Arabidopsis thaliana: one gene and its partners. The protein of the gene in region 3 interacts with the protein of the main gene of each other region in a pairwise test. Each region holds a gene or a part of one and is shown on either strand. Other genes may lie near its edges.

What was found. Proteins that work in one complex are often made in the same cells at the same time.
Region 1: the proteins of AT1G68185 (region 3) and PGM3 interact in a two-hybrid assay, tested with the Arabidopsis thaliana proteins (one study listed by BioGRID).
Region 2: the proteins of AT1G68185 (region 3) and AT3G06660 interact in a two-hybrid assay, tested with the Arabidopsis thaliana proteins (one study listed by BioGRID).

Annotation. Positions count from the first base shown.
Region 1 is NC_003070.9:8,216,039-8,225,834, reverse strand, and holds PGM3 (Phosphoglucomutase/phosphomannomutase family protein), read right to left. Parts: upstream 6,028-9,796; 5' UTR 5,890-6,027; coding exon 5,812-5,889; intron 5,224-5,811; coding exon 5,142-5,223; intron 5,055-5,141; coding exon 4,999-5,054; intron 4,646-4,998; coding exon 4,532-4,645; intron 4,397-4,531; coding exon 4,334-4,396; intron 4,189-4,333; coding exon 4,069-4,188; intron 3,983-4,068; coding exon 3,882-3,982; intron 3,777-3,881; coding exon 3,717-3,776; intron 3,616-3,716; coding exon 3,516-3,615; intron 3,423-3,515; coding exon 3,265-3,422; intron 3,178-3,264; coding exon 3,082-3,177; intron 2,973-3,081; coding exon 2,909-2,972; intron 2,823-2,908; coding exon 2,741-2,822; intron 2,659-2,740; coding exon 2,480-2,658; intron 2,389-2,479; coding exon 2,312-2,388; intron 2,202-2,311; coding exon 2,069-2,201; intron 1,957-2,068; coding exon 1,840-1,956; intron 1,721-1,839; coding exon 1,649-1,720; 3' UTR 1,288-1,648; downstream 1-1,287. Other genes in the region: AT1G23180 (ARM repeat superfamily protein), read right to left, coding at 6,320-6,951, 7,026-7,216, 7,314-7,354, 7,435-7,488, 7,591-7,687, 7,769-8,427, 8,646-8,861, 8,952-9,311 and 1 more. UniProt on the Arabidopsis thaliana protein: Catalyzes the reversible isomerization of alpha-D-glucose 1-phosphate to alpha-D-glucose 6-phosphate. The mechanism proceeds via the intermediate compound alpha-D-glucose 1,6-bisphosphate.
Region 2 is NC_003074.8:2,098,821-2,106,195, reverse strand, and holds AT3G06660 (PAPA-1-like family protein / zinc finger (HIT type) family protein), read right to left. Parts: upstream 3,881-7,375; 5' UTR 3,485-3,880; intron 3,168-3,484; 5' UTR 3,137-3,167; coding exon 2,837-3,136; intron 2,745-2,836; coding exon 2,228-2,744; intron 2,149-2,227; coding exon 2,048-2,148; intron 1,958-2,047; coding exon 1,868-1,957; intron 1,793-1,867; coding exon 1,665-1,792; intron 1,568-1,664; coding exon 1,420-1,567; 3' UTR 1,288-1,419; downstream 1-1,287. Other genes in the region: AT3G06670 (binding protein), read left to right, coding at 1-288; AT3G36659 (Plant invertase/pectin methylesterase inhibitor superfamily protein), read right to left, coding at 5,213-6,007; ALDH22A1 (aldehyde dehydrogenase 22A1), read left to right, coding at 7,183-7,294.
Region 3 is NC_003070.9:25,553,479-25,560,643, reverse strand, and holds AT1G68185 (Ubiquitin-like superfamily protein), read right to left. Parts: upstream 4,262-7,165; 5' UTR 4,241-4,261; coding exon 4,100-4,240; intron 3,986-4,099; coding exon 3,910-3,985; intron 3,822-3,909; coding exon 3,763-3,821; intron 3,569-3,762; coding exon 3,438-3,568; intron 3,302-3,437; coding exon 3,091-3,301; intron 2,639-3,090; coding exon 2,471-2,638; 3' UTR 2,464-2,470; exon of another isoform or gene 2,378-2,463; 3' UTR 2,111-2,377; downstream 1-2,110. Other genes in the region: BBX27 (B-box zinc finger family protein), read right to left, coding at 47-232, 309-569, 853-1,275, 1,353-1,424; AT1G68180 (RING/U-box superfamily protein), read right to left, coding at 5,019-5,041, 5,144-5,828; UMAMIT23 (nodulin MtN21 /EamA-like transporter family protein), read right to left, coding at 6,386-6,551, 6,647-6,798, 6,937-7,095.

The DNA.
Region 1 (9,796 bases), about 17 Mb from region 3:
AAATCCCACACTAACAATGGTGATAGACGGCGGTATAACTAATATCTCATTAATATTTTTGTCGACATCGATGAGGAAATATACATCTTTTAATTCGTCATTAACTTGTTACTATATTTTGGTACTAATTGTTTGGTATTCCATCATTATTTAATTTGTACCAAAAGAAATATACGTTACTTGTGAAAGATTGGGTGATTTATTAAAAAAAATCAAAATCAATTCAATTGTAAATACGAATGTGAGTGTTGGAAATGTAAGTGAATGAGCTACATTTTCATAGATGTTAATGTTACGAAAGACTTGTCTTGAATTCATATCGACAATGAAATCTTGAAGTTTTAAGAAAAATTGTATAACTTATCTCAAAAAAAAATATTTGCCAACAATATGGATATATGCATAATCGTGAAAGTGATAACAAATTAAGAGTACAAGCTAAGACCACTAGTTGAAATCTAGAGATGATAGATGGGGGTGGGTACGTACTATTGGGAGTGGGAGTTTGTCTTCCATCGATTCGAGGTTTTTTGTTACTTAAAAGTCGACTTAATTACTTCATCTATGATTCACTAGAATCAGTTTTGAGTCACTATATAGGTTTTGTTTTGCTTATTGTGTGTTATGAATGTGATAGACCGAAGTAGTGCGGGTAGTGGTAGTGGTAGTTCGTTAAGATGAGTTTGGTGTTTTTGGACATATCAACAGAACATGCTAACTCTCTCACTAGCTAGCTTTTTCATATGCATAGCTTTTTCGAGAAAACAAAATATATTGCACGATTATATAATCAAATTCTTTTTTTTCTCACGTTCATATATTATGTATATGAATATGATTTATACGACCACTCAATTAGTCACATGTTATTGATACTTGACAGAACTCATTATGTCTGAATTTGGATTTGAAATATACTGATAGGTCAATGATACAAATATTTGATACTAAAACTCAAAAGAGAAAGAAATCGAGTATAAGAAAGATATACTTACACGAAATAAAGGATAGTGTGGTTTAAGTGGAGTAGAAAGTTGAATGAAGCTTCGTTCTAGATATGGAAGGTCCGGTGGGAGAATTAGGGTTGTGTACGACTCTAACCAAATCTTTGGGTTTCCTTGTTCCAATTCTCTATATTCGTTTCGAAAGCAACACATACATATATTGAATCTTCCATTTATTCTCTTTCGTTTTCAAGTTCGACGTCTCTCCCACTTTTCAAAAGAGAAGTAATAAAAAATGGCTTTCGTCCATATATTATGGTATCATGCATTGAAAACCATGCAACATCAAACCAAAACACGAGAGGGTGCATTTTCATGAGTACCCATTTGAAGTAATTAGACAACTCTGAGATTTGTCAATGGATGGTCGTAGCATGCTTTGAGGTATCAATGAACTTAGATGTTAAGAGAGTATACTCGCCAAAATACGGAAACAAGAGAGAACAAAACTGAGAAAGCCAAATCCGTACAAGTATAAGCCTCACAACAACTCAAGAAATCAGTCTTGGTTGTTCAGAATTCTGATGAGAAATACAAATTCTCCCTGAGACTAATTATTCTTATAATGTAACTTGGATAGTATAAGAAGAAAACATCATATAGACGAAAAGGTGAATGGTTTGAGTCGTTGAGCTTGACCCTTCTTATGTTATGACGGTGGGGGCTGATCGGCCTGTGAACTCTTCCATCTTCGACAGCTTTAGAGCTAAGTCAACCTGTGAATCACACATCAACAATTACGTATTTGATTAGAGAAAACCCCTTTGGTATTAGCTAAATGGTAATGAGTCGGAAAACAGTTTATGGATTTGAGGTTTTATAGTAAGCAACTGACCAGAGGAGACAAAGCTTCCTGGGATTCTCGGCCGGTTTTTGAAGCATCCTTTTCGTACTGTTCGATGTAAAGCCGGATGGTTGCTCCTTCTGAGCCAGTTCCAGAGAGACGGAAAACCTTCATATGGTTTCAGATATAACAAGAGAGGATTAGTTAGTTTTGATTTCTATCACTTTGTTCTTAGCTGGAATGTATCCAAGCTCAAATACCGAAGAAAAAGATGACTTACAAGTCGTGATCCGTCTTCAAACAAGTAACGGATTCCCTGGTGCTTCGAAATGGATCCATCAACTGGATCTTTGTACTCGAATTCATCAGCACTGGCGACGCTTGCCACGTCCGAACGAATTCCTTTCACAATCCTGAATAAAATCAAGAGAGAAGAAGAGGTTAGAAAAACAGAGTACCAAACTGATGAGTACGTGTTCAAGTATAAAAGGAAGGGATTTCAGAGAAGTGGAAGTGTGTGTACTTGTTAACTTCAGGAATTGAAGATTGCAATTTGACCAAATGCTCCATCAGTTCCTTAGCTTTACCTGCGTCTACATTCTTTAGAGACAAATTTTGAGATGTCAGTAAGGGTACTGTTTCTTCCATATAATATGGTATAATTACAATCACCAAACTTAGCAACTTTTACCTCATAGTCGTAACGAGTGTAATAGTGACGACCGTAGGTAGCCCAATGCTGGCGGACAATGTCTTCAACTGACACCAGTTTAGCGTTACCGTCAATATTTCCCTTGTTCTTGTGAGCAAGTATAGACATCCATGCAAGAACTGCCCATATTCCGTCTTTCTCACGGATATGATCCGAGCCTGTGAAAGATCTTTCTTTCAGAACTGTATAGGTTGTTTTAAAGTTATGAACAGATGTGTGAGTGTGGAAATAGAAACTGACCAGTTCCAAAACTTTCTTCTCCACAAACAGAACACATCCCAGCATCCATCAGATTACCAAAAAACTTCCAGCCTGTTGGAACCTGATATGTGATTTAATAGAGATATGAAATTAAATTATGTAGTTAGGAGAAAAGAAGCTGGATAGAAGTTGCACGGTGACATGTACCTCAAAGAACTTCAAATTCAAGCTTTTTGCAACGACATCAAGAGCAGCTGAGGTTGGCATGCTCCTAAAACAAGAAGTGGAAGTTACAAAATAATCCACAAAAAAGATATATTAAAAGAGTTGTATACACAGAATTCTACTAGAAGTAAAAAAAGAGCCCAGGTGTATAATACCTTGCAACACCTTTCAAACCAGAGCTGAAGTACGGGATGGCACCAATAGCATTTGCAGCAATTATGGCAACTGAATCCGAAGGAGTTACAAAGAACCTACAAATGAAGAGATACTTTAAGTTTAAAAGTACTTGGTATACTAGTTCCATGGATGTATCTCTCTTGAAAACGTCAGTAAGCTACCTTTTACCAAGGATCATGTTACGGTCTGCATCACCATCAGCAGCGGCGCCAAACTCTGGAGGTTCACCTCCAGTGTCGGATTTACCTAATCCCATTCGTGCCACAAGCTCCTTAGCATAGGTCAAATTGGGATCCGGATGCCCTCCTCCAAAGTCCTCCTGCAAATCGTTGTATTGTGGTAAATATTGAGCCTGGAGGTGTATTTGTAATCATTTATGGAATAGCGTTTCTTGGTTAGACAAAAATAAGACCTTGGGAGTGCAGTTCAATAATGCGCTTTCTTGCGCACCGAGTTCTTCGACAAAGATGCGATGTGCATAGGCTCCAGCAACTCCATGCAATGCATCATAGCTTCATAAAACAAAGTAAAATATAACATTACAGTGATGGAACATATATTACAAAACTTAACTCAAATGGAAAAGGTTTGGGAACCAATGTTAGTTACATACCAGAATGTAAACTTTGGAGATGATAGCAATTTCCGGATGGCTTCAAAATCGAAGATTGACCTTGAAGGAGCGAGAATTTTTCTTTAGAAAGATCATAAAAATTGCACATAGACCATAGAGGGAGCAGATTCCAGAATCATGCTTTTAAATTGAGGGACCACTCACTTCATTAATTTAACGTAGTCATCTGCGGGATCAAAAACTTCAACATCAAATTTTCCTTCAGGTCCTTCAAAACTGGTTACACCAACAGCAGAAATATCAACCTGTCGCATTCATCAGATAGACCAGATCAACTATGATTCAACAAAAGACAGATGATGGAAATCTATAAGAGGATTCTTAAGAATACATTGGGTAGATCTTGTGCTATTGGGTACTCCTTGATTGTCTTAGTGTTCTCGTAAATTTTATCAGTGATTGATTCAGGAGCAGGTCCTCCATTTTCCATATTGTATTTGATTCCAAAATCCTGTACAAGGGGTATGGAATCACCTCTTAGTCTTATTATCCATCTAGATATCTTATTATTAAAAAAAGAACAAATAAAGAGATACAAAACGAATAGTTCAAATGAAAGGATAGCACAGTAGAGATGGAACAAGAACAGAACGGACCTCAGTAGGGCCACCAGGATTGTGGCTTGCTGTTAAGATAAATGCTCCAGTTGCTTTCGATCCCTGTAATCGGAGACTGGGGTTAAGTAACTCAAAACCATCATTACATTTTGCGTCATGCACAAACATAGCAAATAACCAAAAAAAACAAAAAACAAAATGTCACTACAACCATGAGCATAGAGAAAGAAATCTCACATCAGCCCCTGATCTTTCACGAATCACAGCTGATACAGCAGGAGTTGATAACAGAGTGTTTTTACCAACCCACACACGTCGTACACCATTAGCTGCTGCCATCTTAATTATGATCTGTTAAGATACAAAATAAAATTGTATGAAAAGCAGTAAAACATCTTCATCTGTAACAGTATGAACCGGATTTGTAATAGGAGTAGATCAAACAAACTTAAGTTTCAGAGATTTCAAAGTCAAACAAAACTTTAACTTCTATAAACCTCTAATCTCTCTATAGAGGTTTCGATGCAAATTTTAGAGATGAACACAAAGAAAAATAAGCAAGGCATTGATGATAATAGCAGGCCTTCCTAACACAGGAGTTCCCTCCAAAACATTGTAAATACATGAGCACTAATTCATAATTCTATGGATACGCCAATTACATTCACACAGATCCAGAAGACAGGGAATATCATCGGCCTTACCTGAACAGCATCCTTTGAGTAATAACGACCATCACCAGAGACCACAAGTGTGGCACCTGCACATATGAACAATAAACACTCATGAATTTTTCGAATGAGCAGATATCTCTGAGAAGCTAAGATGAGTATGAAAAAAATCTCACCTTTAACTTTCTCCGCCGTAAGAGCATTGAATGTTGCTTGGACAAAATTCTCTAGATAATTGGGTTGCTTGAACACTTTCACCTACACAGTTAGAAAAAAAAAAAAAAATACTAATCAGAGATACAAAAAGATGCTAGTTTGATATCTGCAGAGAGTAGAACAAACAATCGACACTCGATTGATTGGATAAAATGATCAACCCAAATTTCTTTTATCAAAATATCTGAAACAGATCTGATCAGTGAGTCTCAATAAACGTCATTGCAGATCGTATATACGTTAAACGAAGATCTGACAATAACAACTAGGCTCTTCCCTAGTTTCAATTATACACAAATTCAATCCATATAGTCTCCATTTCGCTACACCAACTCAAAAAACGTAATTTCAAGCTCTATCAAATCAACATTCACCACATAGAAGCGTCCCAAACATATACTCAAATCAAATATAATAAACGTGATCTCGAACTTGATCCAAATAAAATAACGAAAACGAAATTTAAAATTTGTCATCATTCACTAATCAATATAGATTAATGCATAGATCAAATCTAATCAGATGGTCAATCTCACTTCAAAATCACACTCAAGAAAATCTAAACAGATCTGATCCAGATGCAACAATTCGATTTCGTTTGATTCAGAAGACAAGGATCGATCAACGAACCTTCTTACGAAGACCAGAAGTTCCTGGTTTCTGGCCATCAATAGGAGATGTGGATACGGTAGAAACCTTGAAAACCATATTCGCTTTGAGAAGAACAAAGATCAAAATTTGGACGCAGAGAGAGTGATGATGATAAAAGCAAGCAGCTCTTAAATAAATTACGCAAAAGAGAAGCTTGCTTAAAAGCTAAACGATCCCAAGACACGTGTAACCAAGTGAGTGAACTAGAACGTTTCTCTCGTTTTCACTGACACAGTAAGAAAATCTCAGCCGTTGGATTGTATTTTCAGATTTTAAATTCATTTTTGCTTGCGTAACATTTCAAAGATTAAATATTTGATTGATCATGTGTAATCTCTAGAATATGGTAATAGTAATATACGTGCTACGTAATCCGATTATCTTAATGTAATTAACTTTTCGTATATTCGTCTCACATGACAAATCATACATTATATTATTCTAATTGATTCCAAAATTTTACATGACAATAATCTGTAAAAATGTCTTAAACGGGTAAATTTCTGAGTAACCGAAGAGCTTTCTCCCATTGTGGTCGTTGAGACATAACGATACGTCTCAATACTGGTACAGCTCCTGCTCTTATGATGGCTGTGTGGTTCTCACTGTCCATGGTTAAGTTGTACAATACTGACAAACTCGCTTCAACGCACCGCTCGTTCCTTTCTTCAAGAAGCTTAACCAGCGGTTCGATACCTCCTTGTGAAGCAAGTGTTTGGATAGATTCTGGAACTCCCTCGGAGACTATCTTGTTCAGTTCTAAAACCGCTGCTTCTTTCGTTTCTGGTGATGAGGAAAAGCTCATTTGTTCCACGAGGCTCGGGATCGTTTTGTACAGAGTTACCTCAAGATTGATCGGATTGTTGAGGGATTGAGAGGGAGAGGAGAGAGCGGTGAGTTTGACAAGACAAGCGGCAACCCAGTCTTTGTAGTGTAGAGGGAGGCTTGATCTTAGGATCTTCCTTACTAATTCTATGAAGACCGCGGTATCTATTGTTTGGCGAAAGGACTCGGAGTCAAGAAGTTTTGTCAGTAGCCTTGAAGCAGCGGAAATCGTCAAACCAGCTTCTTCTAGCTTAAGCAGATGTTTCTCTAACTCCTCAGCTTCATTCTCAGGTTCTGCATTTCCATAAAAAGTATTGTATGCTGTTATAAAATTCAAACAGAGTTATATCAAAAGATAAGTTTTGTACCTTCCAGGACTTTCTGCCGGAGAGCAAGATCAAGAACAGTTGTGATATCCTTGGAGATGATCGTGTCCATGTTTGGATTACTGATTATACCAAACTCGATGACAGAGATTGCGTTTCTTAGCAGGTTCGGAGAGGCTGTTTTCGCAATCTGGACGAGCCGAGAAAAAACAGCAGCGTCCAGAACTTCCTTTCTGTTCATTCCCATCCGATGTTTTGAGTAATTAATACTTCTAAAAAAACAAAAAGAATGAATGAGCTGAAGATAGGAAGATCGAGAAGAAGACTGACCTGGAGTCTGCTTTTGATCCGTTCACCGGTCCTTCATAAAACTGTAGCATGTAGAGAAATAGCATAAGCCAAATGAAAGCAGATTTAATGTATAATAATCAACCTTGGAAAATAAACACACCTTGGATTCCATTTCCTTGCTAGGATCTAAGATATGAGCAATTATATCCAGAACCTGCATAACATAGTTCACAAAATACCATTTCACGTCCAGTTATTCCATAATAGCCTAGACAAAGATATCAAAGAACAAAGGAAGAAGAAAATGAAGTCATACGTGTTCTGTAACGTTTAGTGAGATCTCTGGCTGCTTCAGAAGATTAATAAGAAACCATACTGCACCTTCAGCTTCAATCCTCTGGCAAACAGTGCGGCTGCATTACAAGTATAAATAATCTCAACCTCTGAGGAGAAACTGCTTAGTAAAAATGTAAAGAATGCTCAAAGATAAACACCTAAGTGATAAATTTTTCAAGGCACGGATGACGGGTAATTTAACAGTCTCTTTGTTGTTGTTGGCTAAAAGCTGAACCAAAGGCTTTACAGCTCCGGCTTCCATGAAAGAAACCCGCATATCCTCGTTGATAGATGCATCAGCAATTGACTCTGCAGCTCTTGTAGCTGCCAATTCATCTGCCAATCCAAGAATCAAGACTAATCGAGCCACACCATCTACACAAGGAAGAAGGGTAAGCTGCTGAGATTTCCCTGGCCCTTCGGACTTAATTTCCTTCTCAAATTCAATTGCTCCAATACGGGCAAGGAACTGCTGATTTGTCCTCCCAACTATTGCTTTCATTTTGGCTTCATCTACGTCGTCAACATTCTTGTCAACATTTAAACCAAGGAGCAGCTCAGAGGCACCAAATCTTGAAGGAGCTTTTGCTGTCTGCTCAATATTTATACCATCTGGTAAACTAGGCCAAGAATACAAATCCGGTCTGAAGGACTTATAAGCGTCTGCACCAATTATGGGAATGGGTACAACTCCCTCCTCAATGACGAGAATTCTGTAGTATTCGTCTTTGGCTAGCTCCAAAAGCACATTTCTTGCTTCTTTTCTAATAACTTTAGACCCTTTGTTTTCTGTATTATCGGCTTTCAACAATTTTGCCTGGATTCCAATTGGGAAGGTAATAAGCAAGCTGAAGCATGACCAACAATTCTACGGTTTTCCATATATAATATCATTGTCCTAAAGCCTAAGTGATTCTCAGCCAATTTCACATCCTTTCAGTAATTTCAATTCTCACCCTTGACTATTAGCAATCATTTCAATCTAACATATCTAATATATTGTTAAATTCTATAAGGTGAAAAGCAAGGTCTTACCAGTTTTGGTATGACTCCTACTTCAACCAGAATCTTGTGAGTCGAGCGGCTAAGGGCTAGATTGGCCAAGACGCCACCAGCTGCTTCCTTTACGTTTACATCATCATCTTCAAGGAAACTAATGAGTAGCCTAAGGATATCAAAGTCAGCAACCTTCTCCCTAATTTCTTCATCCACAGTCAGATTCCACAGAGCACATATGCATTGTTCTTTCACCTGAAAAAAACAAAACATCGAATAATCATACATCACAATTCAAATCCAACAAGCAAAAGTATACTACTTTGGAATCATAATCCTTCATACCACTGTAGCTAGCGAAGGTCGGCTCAGTAGAGCGGTTATCTCTTCCAACGCTCCACTCTCAGCAACGGATTCTCTGTACAGATTCACAGAAGCTATAGACCGTATAAGCCCAGCAGCAGCTTCACAGGCGGAGCTGGACTCAGACTTGAGAAGATTGACAATTAGATTCAAACAACCATGAAACTGCATTATCGCATCAATACATTTCTTTCCACCCAAAGAGTACTTCCATAGCGTCTCTATCGCCTGCTCTCTATCAAGAGGATCGTTGTCCAAACCGAGCATTCCCACAAACAAGCCCACATAGCTATCACCAACACCTGAAGAGCTTTCACTCCTCACTTCTTCACCATCTTTAAGCTAAGCTTATACACCAACAAACAATATCATCATCGTTCAGTATAGTAATCAGAATACACAAAGCATTAACCTTTAACCTATAATCAATGTTATTTTCCTGATATAACACAATCTGAGAAATCCGAGCTCATTAGAGAGACTTACAGTGGTATCGGAACCAGTTTCTCCACTGTTGGAACGATCAAAACTCGAATTGAGCTCTGAGAAACCATGACGAAGACGACGGTTCGATTGAATAAGTACTGGAAAAGGGCTGAAGGAGCGCTCGCGTCTTATTCTTCTAGATTGTTTTCTAGCTTCAACAGTGAGAAACTGGATTTGGGTGCTTGAGATTGGTAACAGACGCAAACAAGGAAGCTCGAGAACGCCGATACCAGAAGCTATTGTAGAGAGTGACATTAAGAAGCGAATCAATTCGAACGTTCCTTCTGTGAAGAAGCTATCTGATTCTTCAAAAGTTCTAACCTTTTCTCTGATAAACTGAG
Region 2 (7,375 bases), on a different chromosome or scaffold from region 3:
GAAAATGTATTTGCTGTGCTATGTTCGACACTGAGCCATGCAGTGCTTACGGGTAAGAAAAGTCCAGGCCCCGCTGGATCAGCAGCCCGGTCAATAGTAGCGAAAGGAGCTGAGGATTCAAAAAGTAGTGAAGAGAATAATAGCAGCAGTTCAGATGATGAGAATCATAAGGATGATGGAGTATCGAGTTCTGAACATGAAACATCAGACAATGGAAAGCTAAATGGGGAAGAATCTCTGGTAGTAGCTCCAAAATCATCACCTGAAATGGCTGTAAATGGATCCTGAGATTTTAACACTCTGGACTCTTTAGTTGTGGCTGGGGATGGAAGGCACTCTCATGGGTGCAAATAAAACCTTCAGAGTGCAGACTGAGACATGATAAACCGCAAAAGAAAAGCTTTGGGCAACCAAACGGAGGAAGAAATGTATAGTGAGCGCCATTTGAGAGGAGGTAACGGGTTCTTCGTCCGTAGTGTTTGCAGCCGTTTTTTTTTATAATATTCATCTTTGAAAAAACTTAGCAGTCTCTGGTCTGGTCAATTGCATATTGTAAGACATGGTCTATCAGCAACTAACTCTTCTTAATTCAAGTTCCTAATGGTTTCCTTATTTTAAATCTTTCTTTTTCTGGAAATGCATCTCTCTTCGCTGTGTGTTAGGTGGTACAGCAGCCAAAGTGTGTTATATTTTTCTTTTAAAACAGTTAGCTGTTACACATGAGATATAAGGTTTTGATATTTTTGTATTCAGTTTTGGATTTGGTTTTCTATCAGGAAAAGGTTCTTTTGGTTACAAGTTCTTAATTAAATAATCTAACACAACTAGTCAACTACCATACTTGAGTCACCCACTTCCAACATTCTTAACAGGCGTGATCTAACTCATCTATGTCCTAATACTCAACCAGCTAAAGAAAAAAAAACACAGCTTGTCGTCTTCTTTGACTTTAATACATGCGTAACGCATGGTGCGTTCCATATTTTTTTGTCATTTTATTTTGACATGCTTGGGAGTGTCTCTTCTTCGCCATTTCCTTTCCCCAAAAGCCATATTCATTTCCGCTATTTTACAACGTCTGACGTCAAAAAAGACCTAAACAATTGTTGCTCTATTAAAATAATTTAAACTGTTTATGTATTTGATTCTTCGAATACTGCCAACAAAAGTGGCTGTAGTTTAGTGGTAAGAATTCCACGTTGTGGCCGTGGAGACCTGGGCTCGAATCCCAGCAGCCACAAATATTCATCTTTTTGTTTTATTTATATATTGTTGAAAAGAATCTGATTGTCTAGCAACAAAACTCGTATTGACTTTGATTTTGATCGTCCTGTTGGATATGGATATCAAGTAAACTGAAATGTAAAGGTCAATTGGACAAGAGTTAAGCAACAATTATGTGTTAAATAAGTTGAGCAATTAGCAATGAATCAGTGCTTGTTCCATCTTCTCTTGAATGGCGTTGTAACATCCGAGACTACATAATGGCAGCTTCGACTTTGAATCCCTGTACTTGTACGCTTTCTCGCAATTTGGTCCCACACATTTCTCTCGCGGAGGAGGATAACTGAAGCACACAGATCCATCAAAACACACACTTCAAATCTCACAATTCCACATATATAAATATGATTCTATAAATATATCCTCAGATGTTAGCATACCTGTACGTGACTGGCTTGAAGATATCTGGAAGACCAATGTCTTCAGAAAATGTCATAGTTGTTCCACTTGGACCAATAACCAATCTGATAGTGTTTGATGCGAGTGTGCTTGATCTTGCAGCTCTCTCCTGAGAAGAGGAAAGATGAAATCAGAACAAACAGAGAGGAGGAGTTAATAAAATTTCATCTGTAATCAAAGGTACCTGAGCTCGTTCTTCCTGTTGTTTTTTTATCTTCTCCTCTCTTTTCTTTCTACCAGAATCTTGTCCGAGTATTTTCCTGATAGCTTCAGCCTGGTGAACAAGACAAAGAAGAAGCTCTTAGATCGTCATTCGGCTTGTATTGGCATTATATATTAACCAGAAAAAATGTATCAACTTTACCTCGGCTTCTTGGGCAGCCTTCTCACACTGCATTCGCCGTCTCTGTGCAGCTTCGGCCTTCTTGGATTGTTGCTCTACCTCAGAAAGCTTCTGTTTTGGTCCTGGAATTGTTCAAGGTTTAGAGATTAAGTATTTGCAGTCATCAGTTTGATTTGAGAAAGGGAAAAAGGTGCAACTCACTTTTAGATGAGGGGCAAGGTAAGCCATCAGGGAACTCAAGAGAACTCGACCTGATGACAGAATGTGGATCCTTTCCAGATTGGAGAGCCCGAGTACGTGTAGTAGGAATTTGTCCGCTTGTTTCTCCTGCCGGGAGCGGATCAACCATTCCCATCACCGGCTTTTTCCTTCCGGACACAGCAAGTTTGTCTGATGAGAGATGTTTTCCGTCTTCCATGTCATGACCACTGCTGTGTATCCTTCTGCCTCCTTCACTCTCTTTACCTTCATGAGAGACCCCGACCCTTTTAGACTTTAACTTTACGAGGTATCTGATTTCCTCATCTCCATCATCACTGTCTGGCTCTGGATCCAATACACGTTTCTTAAGACCTCGTTTGCTCTTCTCGGACATGGACGCACCATTCTCAGTCTTAGACGGATATCCTCTAGATTGATGTATATCTCCTAGAAACAGTGTTTTCTGAACATGACCATTGCCTTTTACCTTACTTTGAAATGGTTTTTGTCCATTATCCTGCATTACTCTCGTATATCAGCAAAGAAAGAAAGCTAACAATAAGTATAATGAAGGACAAACTCAAAGCTTTTAACAGATAAGACCTTTACCAAAGCTTTGGTATAAGTACCCGCCTCAGAGTTGGTTTGCAACGTACGGGTAACACCAGCACCAAGCTTAAGCTTCACTTTCAGTTTGTTCTCACTCACAGACCCACATAAACTATTGGTATTCCTAAAACTTGGGTTAGCTTCATTGCTAAGAGCAGTGTTTGTCTGCGTTGAGGGTGGCAGAAACTTGAAACTATGCAAGCTCCCTTTAATATCGCGGGGTCGACGAGGCAGAGCGCTTCTCCTTCTCCTACCCGTAAAGCCAGCTAAAGTAGAAGCAGAACCTCCAGAGTCCTCCATTATCAGGACAAGCGTAGATGCAGCAAAATACCTGACCACAGTAAACAAGGTCAATATACACAAGTAACTGAACTATAACAACTGCATGAAAAATGTTTACTCAAAGCAATTTATGAACATAACTAAGCCTCAGAATCTGTTTTCCCCAGAGAGAAAGATAGTTTAAAATTGAACTACATGCACTTTCTCAAATTGAATTAGTCATAGCATTCTCAAAATTGAATTAGACATAGCATTCTCAAAATTGACACAAAACTAATGAAACCAGAGAAGCCAAAACCATCAAGCATCTACTCAAGTAGAATGATATCTAAACCTAAAGAACGAATAAGCATACACTAAACCCACCTCTAACAACACCTTCGCAATTAGTGCTTCTCAGTGAATTCGTTAAGAAATCCCCTAAATTCAAACGAGAATCTCACAGTAACACCAGTGTTTCGAGGGAAAGAAGAAACAAGCGGCGGGAGAGAGAAAGAGAAGTGCGAAGAAGAAGGAGAGAAAAACCCTAGAATTAGATAATGGAGTTGAGAAGAAGAAGAAGAAGAAGAAGAAGAAGAAGAAGAAGAAGAAGAAGAAGAAGAAGTCTCTCGAGAGAGGATTGGCTTTAAGTGAAGGGTAAATGTGGAAGAGATGTCCCAAAATCTTTATCTCCTCCATTTTTCTGATTTTCTCTCTTCCCTTTTTTTTTTCTTTTTTGCCTTTTTTTTTTCGGGTCTTCACTTCCATGCCGTCCCGTTTAAATATCTCCGGCGAAACGCTCATCGTTTCTTTGTCGGGGTTGTTGACTAAGACGAGCGACGATTCAGCGTTTGGGTTGGGCCCTTAAAATATTAAGGCCCAATTATTTCAAGGCTCGTAAAACATGAGCTAAACCAAACCAAATATGTGATTTCTACCGATTTCTATTAGACTTCGGTTCAGGTAAATTATTCAGTTTCTACTTTCTAGTCGGTTCAGACCTATATAATTGACTTTGATTAAAAATAAAATATTTAAGGAAAATTAAGCTAATTAAGAGATAATTAAGCTAAGTTTTTATAAATTTAAGAAACTCATGATTAAAAAAAATATTTATCTATATTCACACTTTAATTTTATTTAAGAAACACATGTTTATAAATTTGCATGAGATGTTTTATCCAATGGGTAAAGGTAGTGTTTAAATAATAAAGAAAGAGAAGTGAGAGAGATGTGAGATAGAACGAAAACGTTTTTTTTTTTTTTTTGATTTAAAATATCTCTTGACTGAAAATAAATATCATACTAAATGTCTTTCATTTATTATTATTTTTTCACTCAAATTCTCTTCATTATCTCACTATACTGATAACCCAATTGGTAAATATAGTGTAGAGTCCAATTAGCCTAAATTACATATTATAAAAAGTCTCAAAAGACTATTCACTCCCCGAACATTGTTGGTGCAAATTGTTTTTTTGCTAAATTGTAAATATCATATATATGAAAAATCAGTTTTACAAAGTTTGATAATCTAGAACATTTGTATTTTTTTGGCAAAATAAAAACAAAAAACAAAGAGCCAATTGAAAATCCGGGAGAGAAATCTTTTATATATGATATTTACAATTTAGCAAAAAAAATAATGTGCACCAACAACATTAGGAAATGAACAGTCTTTTGAGATTTTTTTTCAAATAAATTGGTGCACATTGTTAACATAACTGATATTTTTCAAATAAATTGGTGCACATTGTTAATTCATATTCAAGAAGTAACCTAACATTTGTACAATCGATTCACTTTTACCAGATTCAAAAACGAGTCGTTATCTCTACATATACATTTTTGTATATATTTATATATATATATATATATGTATATATATCACTTTGTTTCACGAGAATATAACATCCACATATGACCACACAACAATGAGATACATGATAACGTTACAGACTTACACCGTAAGCCTAAGTAGAGCTCTCACGTTCTTTACTTGGAACTTTGGATATTCGAAAACGATGTAGTACCATGTTCAAACCCAGCCAAGACCCAAATTTAAAGAAAACAAAAACACTTTTATATCCTCACGATTCAAAACGCTGTCGTATTTCACTTGATCAACGTAGAGATGGCGAGACAGTTACTAACCATCTTCGTAAGCTTATCGGCCACGTAAGCCAACGGGTTAGGCTCTCCCGATTCTTCAAAACCGTCGTTACACGTGCTGTAATCTGTCATCGCTGCGCTCAAGTTTGTGTTAACGGTGGCAATGTCACTTGACTTGACGGCGTTAACTGCATCTTCCAAATTCACAACTGCATCATCATATAACTCCTGACAATCGGAGGCGTCGACTTTTTCGACGATGGCCATGGCCGCCTTGGTCGCGGTGATCGAAGCTTGAATAGCGAGAATGAGGACGGAGGAAGTGTTTGGTTTCAGTTGAGGCGTTAAGAGAGGACTAACGGAAGATTCGCATAACGGAGGGTTATCGGTTTTGCCGCAAATGGTTTTGATCTCCGGAGATAACAATGGCGGGTTCAAAAGGCTTTTGGGAGAACTCGAAACTTTGATTCCAGATGGTGCAGCAGAGGAAGACTCCGCAGGAGCTTCTGGTGATGCGACAGGAGCCTCTGGTGACGCTGCGGGAGAGTATATATCTATCTCGACCGGAGGATTTTTTGGGGAAAATGAATCTGCTGGAGCTTCTGGAGACGCAACGGGAGAGTCTGTATATATCTCCGCCGGAGAATTTGCAGGACTAGCGATAGGTTTCATAACTTCCGGTGCCGGAGCTGGTGTCGAAAATGGAGAATCTGATCTGGATTCTACATGCGTAGAGATGGTGACCAAAATAGAAACCGTGAAGATCACGATGATCCGATAGGTTTTGTTGAACTCCATTTTTTTCCCCTTTGATTGAGAAAAAAATGGAATTCTGATTAGATAAAAGTGACCAAATGAAGAAAAGAGTTTACGGAGATCGGTGGAACGTAAATGGCGATTAAACTTTCAAGTTGTAATTAGTCATCATCTTTAAACATGGTAATTGTGAAGTTTTGCGAGAAAATAGGTCAACACGTCAATTAACACTAACGTATGTTGTCTTTAAAACCTTTGTATTCTTCAATTAACTCTAAAATCTAAGTATAGCTAGAAATCTGTTACCTTAAACCATCACCTTTTCCTCAAATTTTCTTCCCTTTGATTTTTTATTAGTATGCGTTTTTTGCTCTAAAGTTATTCTTAGAGAAATGTAGTACTAGCACCAATTCAGCTGTTGAAAGGTTTTATTCCCGTTGCTTGGATTCTCCCAAAGCACCAATTCAGCTATTGAAAGGTGTATTTGGCCGGCGCTATTAGCTTTGATCACAGTCTGTTTTATGGCCAAGCTAACACGTGATGTTATTATGTACCTTCACCAATTGGTCTTCAATGAAAGGTATCTGGTGGGTGAAAGAGTGGACAATTTGACTGACGATGTAGAGCAGGGGATAATCATCCATGGACAATGACCAACAATTACTTTTGTTCATAGTCAAGTCAATATGTTACTATATTTAGCAAATATTTAGAGAAAACCAAATTTAGAGTAGACATGTAGGATAGTGTCTTGCTTTTGACGAGATAATGGTTTAATACTCTAACTCGGTTAACAAACGTAATTATATTTCAGTCGGGTCAAACTTTTGGTTAAATACTTTAAACGCAATCACGATATATATATATCGCGATTGATGATTATTTGGTGTTCATGTTCTTGGCGTGTAGCTTCAACGTGGATGCTCGTTTTAATGACGCAATACTTTTCTTGGATTAATCTTAATCCGCTAGGATTAACCCTTAAGGTTGCCAAAATTACCACCCGTACCATTCTCACAGTTCCAGTGGACTTGAAAACCAGAAAATAAAAAAAGGCGATTCAAAGCAGAGAATAAATATTAAAATCCATCAGCTCTTCGTTGATTCCTATTTCTATTTTTCCGATTGACGGAGACGCCGAGATTTATCCTTCATCGGCGTTGTCTTTTCGCTGGATTTCTCAAAGCCCTAGCTGAAGAATCTCTGAACAAGTGGAAATGCCGTTTTGGTGGCCACTGATCGTCCTCGCCTTCGCTTACGCGATCTGCAAGTTCCTTCTTATGCTCATTCCTCCCAATGTTCCTTCCATTGACGTTGACGCATCCGATGGTATCTCTTTTCTTCTCTGTCTGTATCAGCTTCTAGTTTCGTCTATGTCTATACCCCGTAAAACAAGCTTAATCGATGTTT
Region 3 (7,165 bases):
TGGTTACTGAACTAGACTCTATAGTAGTGGATGAAAGATTTCAAACCTCATGTGATTTGTCAAGGGAAGAAACAAAGAACACGTTGTTACTATCTGCAATTGGCTCAGGATCAGCTCCAAATTGCTCTTCAAAGTTCCGGAAAGTGAGATCAATGTCAGGTATTTGGAAGTCATCGTCACTGCAGATTGTATCTTCACATACTCCAATGTCTTGTATATTTTGATGCCACAACTGCAGAAACAGAGCTAATCTCATGTAACTAATGGTTCCCACTAAGACTATGTACTGTGTGATATTTAAACCAAACCTGATTGTTCTTATTGTATGGACTTTTGCATTCCCAAAAGGAATCACCAAGTGTGGAAGATGAGGACAAGTGTGAAAAATCAACAACCAGCTCTTTTCCGGTCTGCGGAAGATCGATTAACTGTTCTTCGGGTTTCTTAGGAAGCTCCAATGGAGATGGATCACCTCGTTCTGTCAAGGAAGAACTACCATTCTCTTCCCTGAGCTGAACCTTCTCCAATTCAAGAATCTGTTCCAAGATAAAACCACCTTCTCTTTGCACCTGAAACCATCAAAATCATCGGTACATCAGCTATAAAGAGATCTATTCATCTACAAAGCTATAAAAAGATATACAAAAAAAAACTAAAGAGCGTATGGTCCAGTGGTTTGTTCAAGTAGGTGAAAGACTCGCCCTATGGTTTAAGGCCACAGATCGTTGTGGTTCTCTTTTGGCCATTGTAGACGGCTTTCTACAAGCCTCGGGTGTATTAGTCTACTTTCGACCCGAGATCTTACACCGGTTATAAGAAACTGTAAATATGTATACAAAACAAGCATCAAACCTTAGGTTTAACCATTCGAAAAGATTGCTCTAACGAAACATCATCATCGTCATCCATAACTCGAAAACCCCACATAACCGCGAAATCTTTAGCAGGAGGACAACCCGTATAACACCTCAAATCCCTTCTACGATGCTCAGAAGAGCCACCACCATGAAACTTATCATTACATCCATGGCAAAGAAACATTTTATGGTCAAAACATCGAACAACACAAGGCTGATTCTTACAAGAATCACATAAAACCGTACGTAAATGCCGTCCCGAGAGTGAATTAGCTGAATGAACCTTTGCATCACATGTTAAACAAAGATTTGCTGTATCAGCTATACAATAAACCACTGCTCTATACGCTTTACAAAACTCACATACTCTTTCCATATTCTCAATTATTATTATACATAACATATAAAAGATTCCTCCCTGTTACATCAAAAAAAATATCAAATTAGTTTATTAGAGATCACAGATCGAACAAAAAGAGAAGAATAAGTTTTTACCGATAAGAGAACTAAAAAGATCAGAGATTGGTGACAAAAGCTTCTTCTGTCTGTTTTTAGGAGCTTTTTCATATTATCTGAACAAATCCGTCGGTTTGGTTAGGATGACGTGGCAAAGCCACGTAGATATTTGGGTGGGGACTTAGAAAAAATGGTGATTACGTTATCCGTATGCACGTGAGATATGGGGAAGCCACGGACGTATGTGCCACTGTGACAGCTTCTTCTTTCACGACCCATCATCTCTAACTCTTAAAGCTTAGCTTTTCCTAACCAATTATTGTATGCCACATGTCGTAGCTAACTCCGGACCAAACAAAAACTACAATTATCCGACTTGGTTAGTTCGTTAATTGGTTTTATTATTTTTCACATGAACTAAAACACATAAATAGTACTTGAATGTGTTAATTCTTATAATTTTACATTTTTAAGAATTTTATTAATGACTAATGTGATGTTTTCTTTTCTATCAAGATTATATTAAAAGCTAATGTTACAAAACAAGAAATATTAGAGTCATGAGACTATATTTGAATATAAAAAATATCAGTGTAAAACGACATTTACTAAGAAACAAAGGAAAAAGTACACTAAACCGAATTTAACCGATTTACCATTGATTCCAGTTTTTGTCAGTTAGTAAAAAGCAATACTGATTATACATACAATAGTTTTAGTTTTGTCTTAGATTAGTGAGATATATATTTATGTTTCTCAAGAGATAGAGAAAGCATAACGATTAAAACCAAACAAAAGTTTAGTTAGATTTTTAGATTGGATTCAATAGGATTAGTTAAAATCAAAATGGTTTGGTTTACCTTATATATTATACACGCCTAATAAAGAGTGACAGAAAGAGTGAAAGAAAGAAAGAAACAAAATTCCGATAAAATGAGAAAGGTCACAGATACAAACACCAGATGTTAGCAGAGAGATCCCTTCCCATGCCCATGTTGATGTACAAAACTCTGGTTTTTCGCAAAAGATGGAACAGATTTGACATTCCAGATTCCGATTAGCGCCTGACTTGAATTCAATCGAAGATAATGAGTTATCATCATATCACAATAAGAGCAAGAAGAAAGATGTGGAGGACTTCATAAGTTACCTATTTGTCAAGTTTTTTTGGTGTGCACTTCAATCATATCATGATCCTCCATGCCAAGTTCAGAAGGAGTGGTTGATGGATCAATCTTATCACCGTCAAAAATAAATACAAGATTTTGCGGGTCAAGCTTAGCTTTATCTGTATACAGTTTGATAACCCTCTCAAATTTCTCGTCCTACAAGAAAATGGTAAATACCAAATCAACATTCTCATATTTTACAAGCTTTAACAGAATATGCATATCTATTAATGAGCGGCTCATTGTATGACAGAGAGCAAGCAATATGTATTCTGTGTGTAAATGCTATGTGGTGATGATACATTGATAAGAACATGAACTCGTTCTCTAGTTTATTAGATGAACTCAAAGAATAGTTTAAAGATCCATCAACTAATACACGTCTCAAATACTCGACCCCATTCAATGATTTCTTTAATCCCTGTATTTATACTCTTGCTTTCCTAGAAAGCTCGAAATATCTAGCTATCTAGATAGTAGCGAAGGTGACATAACAACTAATTCTTATCTCTACTAAATATCTAGTATCTAGCTAGAAAAAGTTTGGATAGTAAGCTTATTGTCGATGGAAGGTTGGATAGTAAGTGGCAAGCAGTGAAAAAACTTACCGCAAACACCCGGAGTGTCTTCTGTCCATCTTTGTCCTGTATTGTAATAACAATCTTGGCCCTGTCATTCGTAGGCTCTGATGGTAACTGAGCAGCAGTCTCTGAAGATGGATTGCGAGATTCTTCAACTTCCCTTTTAGCAGACTCCTCAACTTCCTGCATCACATCTCCTACAGTTTTTGTAAATGACATGAGCTCCATCTTCTTCGACCTACGTTACATATTTCATTTATAATCAAATTGTAACACTGGGACTCTTTCCGGATAGCAAATAACACTACCATAGCCTCTAACAGCAACATGGGAAGCTTAGAGATGAGAAATACTCAAAGACATACAAAAGTTACCTCAATGCTTTAATAGTTGAATCTTCAACAGAGTCTTTACTTTTGTCGAAGATAACCTTTGGTGGAGGAAGCAACCAATCGTCATCACCCGTAACTTCAATCACTTTCACATCATCATCTAACTTCTCAACCTATATAAAAAGATTCAAGTTCCAAAAGGAATGATGATAGATTCAACCTATGAATTGTGAAGTACATAATCGAATTGTTCCTTCACTGACATTGATTCAAAACTCTTTACAAGCCCACAATACCAAAAGTATCTATCAAGTTAACACAAAGAGCTCAATGAGACAACAACCAATCAATAAAAATCAATTCTTACTGTTTGTGAAGTTTTCGCTTTCTTCGGAATTGGCGTCACCGAGGCATCATCATCATCATCTACAAAAATTCAAGCGATAATAAAGGATTCATCTTTATCACTGTCGAGTGTCGAGCTCAGTGACCAAATCAAATAATCGAAACTCACCATCGATACAAACGAAATTCGCTGGCTGAACACGACGATAATCAAAAAGTGGCTCTAGATCTTCTCCTTCACCTCCCTGATCATCAATCAGTAATACAAATTCAGAAAAACTCAGGCATCAACACAATCCCACAACAGACAAAATTAGGGTTTTAAAAATTGGGGTATTGGGAATTCATAAAATTCTCACCATTGTTAGCGAATTTGGATCTTCTTCGTCTGTTTTATCAGAAACCCTAGATGAATTTGGACAGATTTTGAATTTGAATATTATTTTGCTGTGATTTTTGAAAAGACAAAAGTGATTTTGAATTTTGATGAAGAGAGGCATCGGCGATTAAGAAGCACCTCTTGGGTTTATTATTTGTTTGTTGGGCCTGTTTAGTGGGCCGAGTTTTCATTGGTTATCACACTTTTTTTTCAGATTGGTTTAATTGGGTTGGGTGACCATCATAGTTGATTGCGTATTTGTCATTTGAGATCTGTTGTACTTTAGTAGAATTTTGTTGGTATTTTTGAATGCATGACAATAAAAGATGGTACAACAAGACTCATCCTAAGTCTTTAGTAGAGAAGTCCATGGGAAGCTCTACATGAAGGTTATAGTAAACCAAACCGAGAAGGCACAAACTCGGCTTTACAAAATCAGGCCAAAAATAAGATAACCGGCAAATAAAAAGGGTTGGTGAGGCTATTCAAACCATACCTAAGTAAATTGTGTTCGATGATCACGAGAGAGAAAGAAACAAAGAAAGGGAGACAAAGCGTTTTCAGAGACTATGAGAGATCATGGAACCCTAGCTAGTAGAGTAGAGGACTAACCTTATTACCAAGATTTTTTATTTACATGTTGTTACAACTTACAAATGAATAAAAGATAATTAATGCAAATATAGTCTTGTTAATGCCAAAGTTTTGTTTCATGAAATAAACACGCTTCTAGCCTTTCATGATCACCCTCTTTGTCTCTTTATGTAGTTTTTTTTTGTCGTTTCTTATTGATGTGTGTTTCTTCTCCTCTCTCTCATAAGTCATAATACACTTAATATGTAGTCAATAATATTCCTAGTTTCATACATTCTTGTTTGCAATTCTTTAATTTTTTTTTGTCAAGAGTTTGTTATTCTTATATCTGCGAAATTGTATATATTTTTAAGAGTTAAATATCATAGTCAAAACCCGTATAAGCATAATAGAAAAGCCATGAAAGCTATATCGGGAGGTGGAATCTTACCTATGAGATTATGTACCCAATCAATCATCATTCGGAGAGGCCACAAAGAACAAACCCGAGTCCGAAACCGATTTGATCGATCATTGTCGATGTTGTAAGACCCTCCTTCGTCTACGTTACTCTCGGAAACACCTAAGTTAACCTCAAAACGACAAATGGGACAAGTGTTGTGAATGTTCAACCAAGACACAATGCAGCTTGAATGGTACAAATGCAAGCATTTCAATTCTTTTCCTTCCTCTCCAACTTCAAATTCCTCCTTGCATATCGCACAAACCTTCTCTTTCACCAAATCTTCATCCGTGATTATCACCGTCCTTACAGCCTCGATGGCGGATTGCGAGGCTGGTGGTGGACCGATTTGTACACTAGGCATGACATCAGCGAATTCCTCGTCAGTATTATAAACTAGATCATCATGATTGAACCGGTTACTTCTTGGTTCGTTGATAAGATGGAGAGTGATCCAATCGGTATCACTATCCCAATAAGGTCGGCTTGGCCTCATAATGTCAAGCTCATCGTGAAGATTGATCTCTCTAGAACAGAAAGGACATATGGGACCATATAGACCAAAGCTTCTTAGCCTAATGGTACGGCTACAATGGCGACAATAGAAGTAATGGAACGTTCTTGTTCTTCTTGTTCCATTCACAATAACTCTTGGACGATAAGCAGATGTCATGTTTTCAATCTTTTTATTTTTTCGTCGGTAGGATCTTTATATATGCATTTATAATTAAATACGTGTACATGTTTTCAAGAAGAGGCAAGACAAAGCCTATACGAGTGAATGAGTTATTCTTTTCTGTGTTTAGGTTGGTGTCGTATGGTCTCTGCTATGTCAACTTGCGAATCTTTTAGTGATTTGTCTTGTAGGAATCAGAGATTCAAAAGGATGCTTGGAGAATCAATTACGATAAAGGGTTTTAGGTTTGGAGGAGAGTTATTTGAGCGGCCCATTATGGGCCCATTCCAACTTACTAGTTCATGTACATATTGTATGACTCAGAAGTGAAATTAATTAGACCCAAATAAGATTTTACAATTTATTATTGCTCGTTAAAAAAAATCCATGCAACATCTTATGAAGTTGTGGATGTGGTAGTACAAAGGTCATATGCACATAATAACTTACATAGATGGTTCAATAAATCATCGTTAGATAGAATAATAATGTTAATATTCACTTAATCAAATATACTAACAACAAGTCGTTCAACATATATAAATGATGGTTGATCAAGGGACATTTGTACTTAATGTTGGGAGATTGTTGACTGTGATATCTTTGCTAGTCTTATTTGTTTCATTATGATCCGATGTCGTAAGCATACTCTTCATTTCCTTGTTTTTAGCCCATAGCACAATGTATAATGCTCCAACGATAATCACTGTACCAATTATGCTGTAATGTTTTCAAGTAAAAATAAACCATATTATATATACATACGTATATCAAATCCATTTCCACAAAACAATACAATATACATGAGTTTGTACCTCCCCAAATGAAGTGTTTCATCTAGCAAAAATGATCCAACAAGAGCTACGATCACAAGTCCTACAGGGCTAAATACCGATACAAATAACGGTCCTCTAGACTCAATGCACCATGCGTTGACTGCTACCACCATCCCGGAAATCAGAATTGCCTACAATGGACAACATAAAGCACATATATTCAAGGCCAACCTAAATGAATCTTCACACATGTATAGACTTGTATGAATTTGTAATTAGACAACAAGACATATATATATATACTTAATAATGGATGGATTGATATTTACCGCATAAGCAATGGTTAATAGTCTGATATTCCATCCTAATCTCCATTCATCTAAATCGTGTTCCCAGCAAAGAGCGACAAGCATAGCCACTACGCCTCCCATCATGTTCATTAGAGTCGCGTTCCAATAAGGCCCTCCAAATTGTTTGCTTATCTTAACCTATAAACAAAACAAAAACAAAAAAAAACACGTACATGCCTAATGCCTTAGTACACAAAACAAACACAAA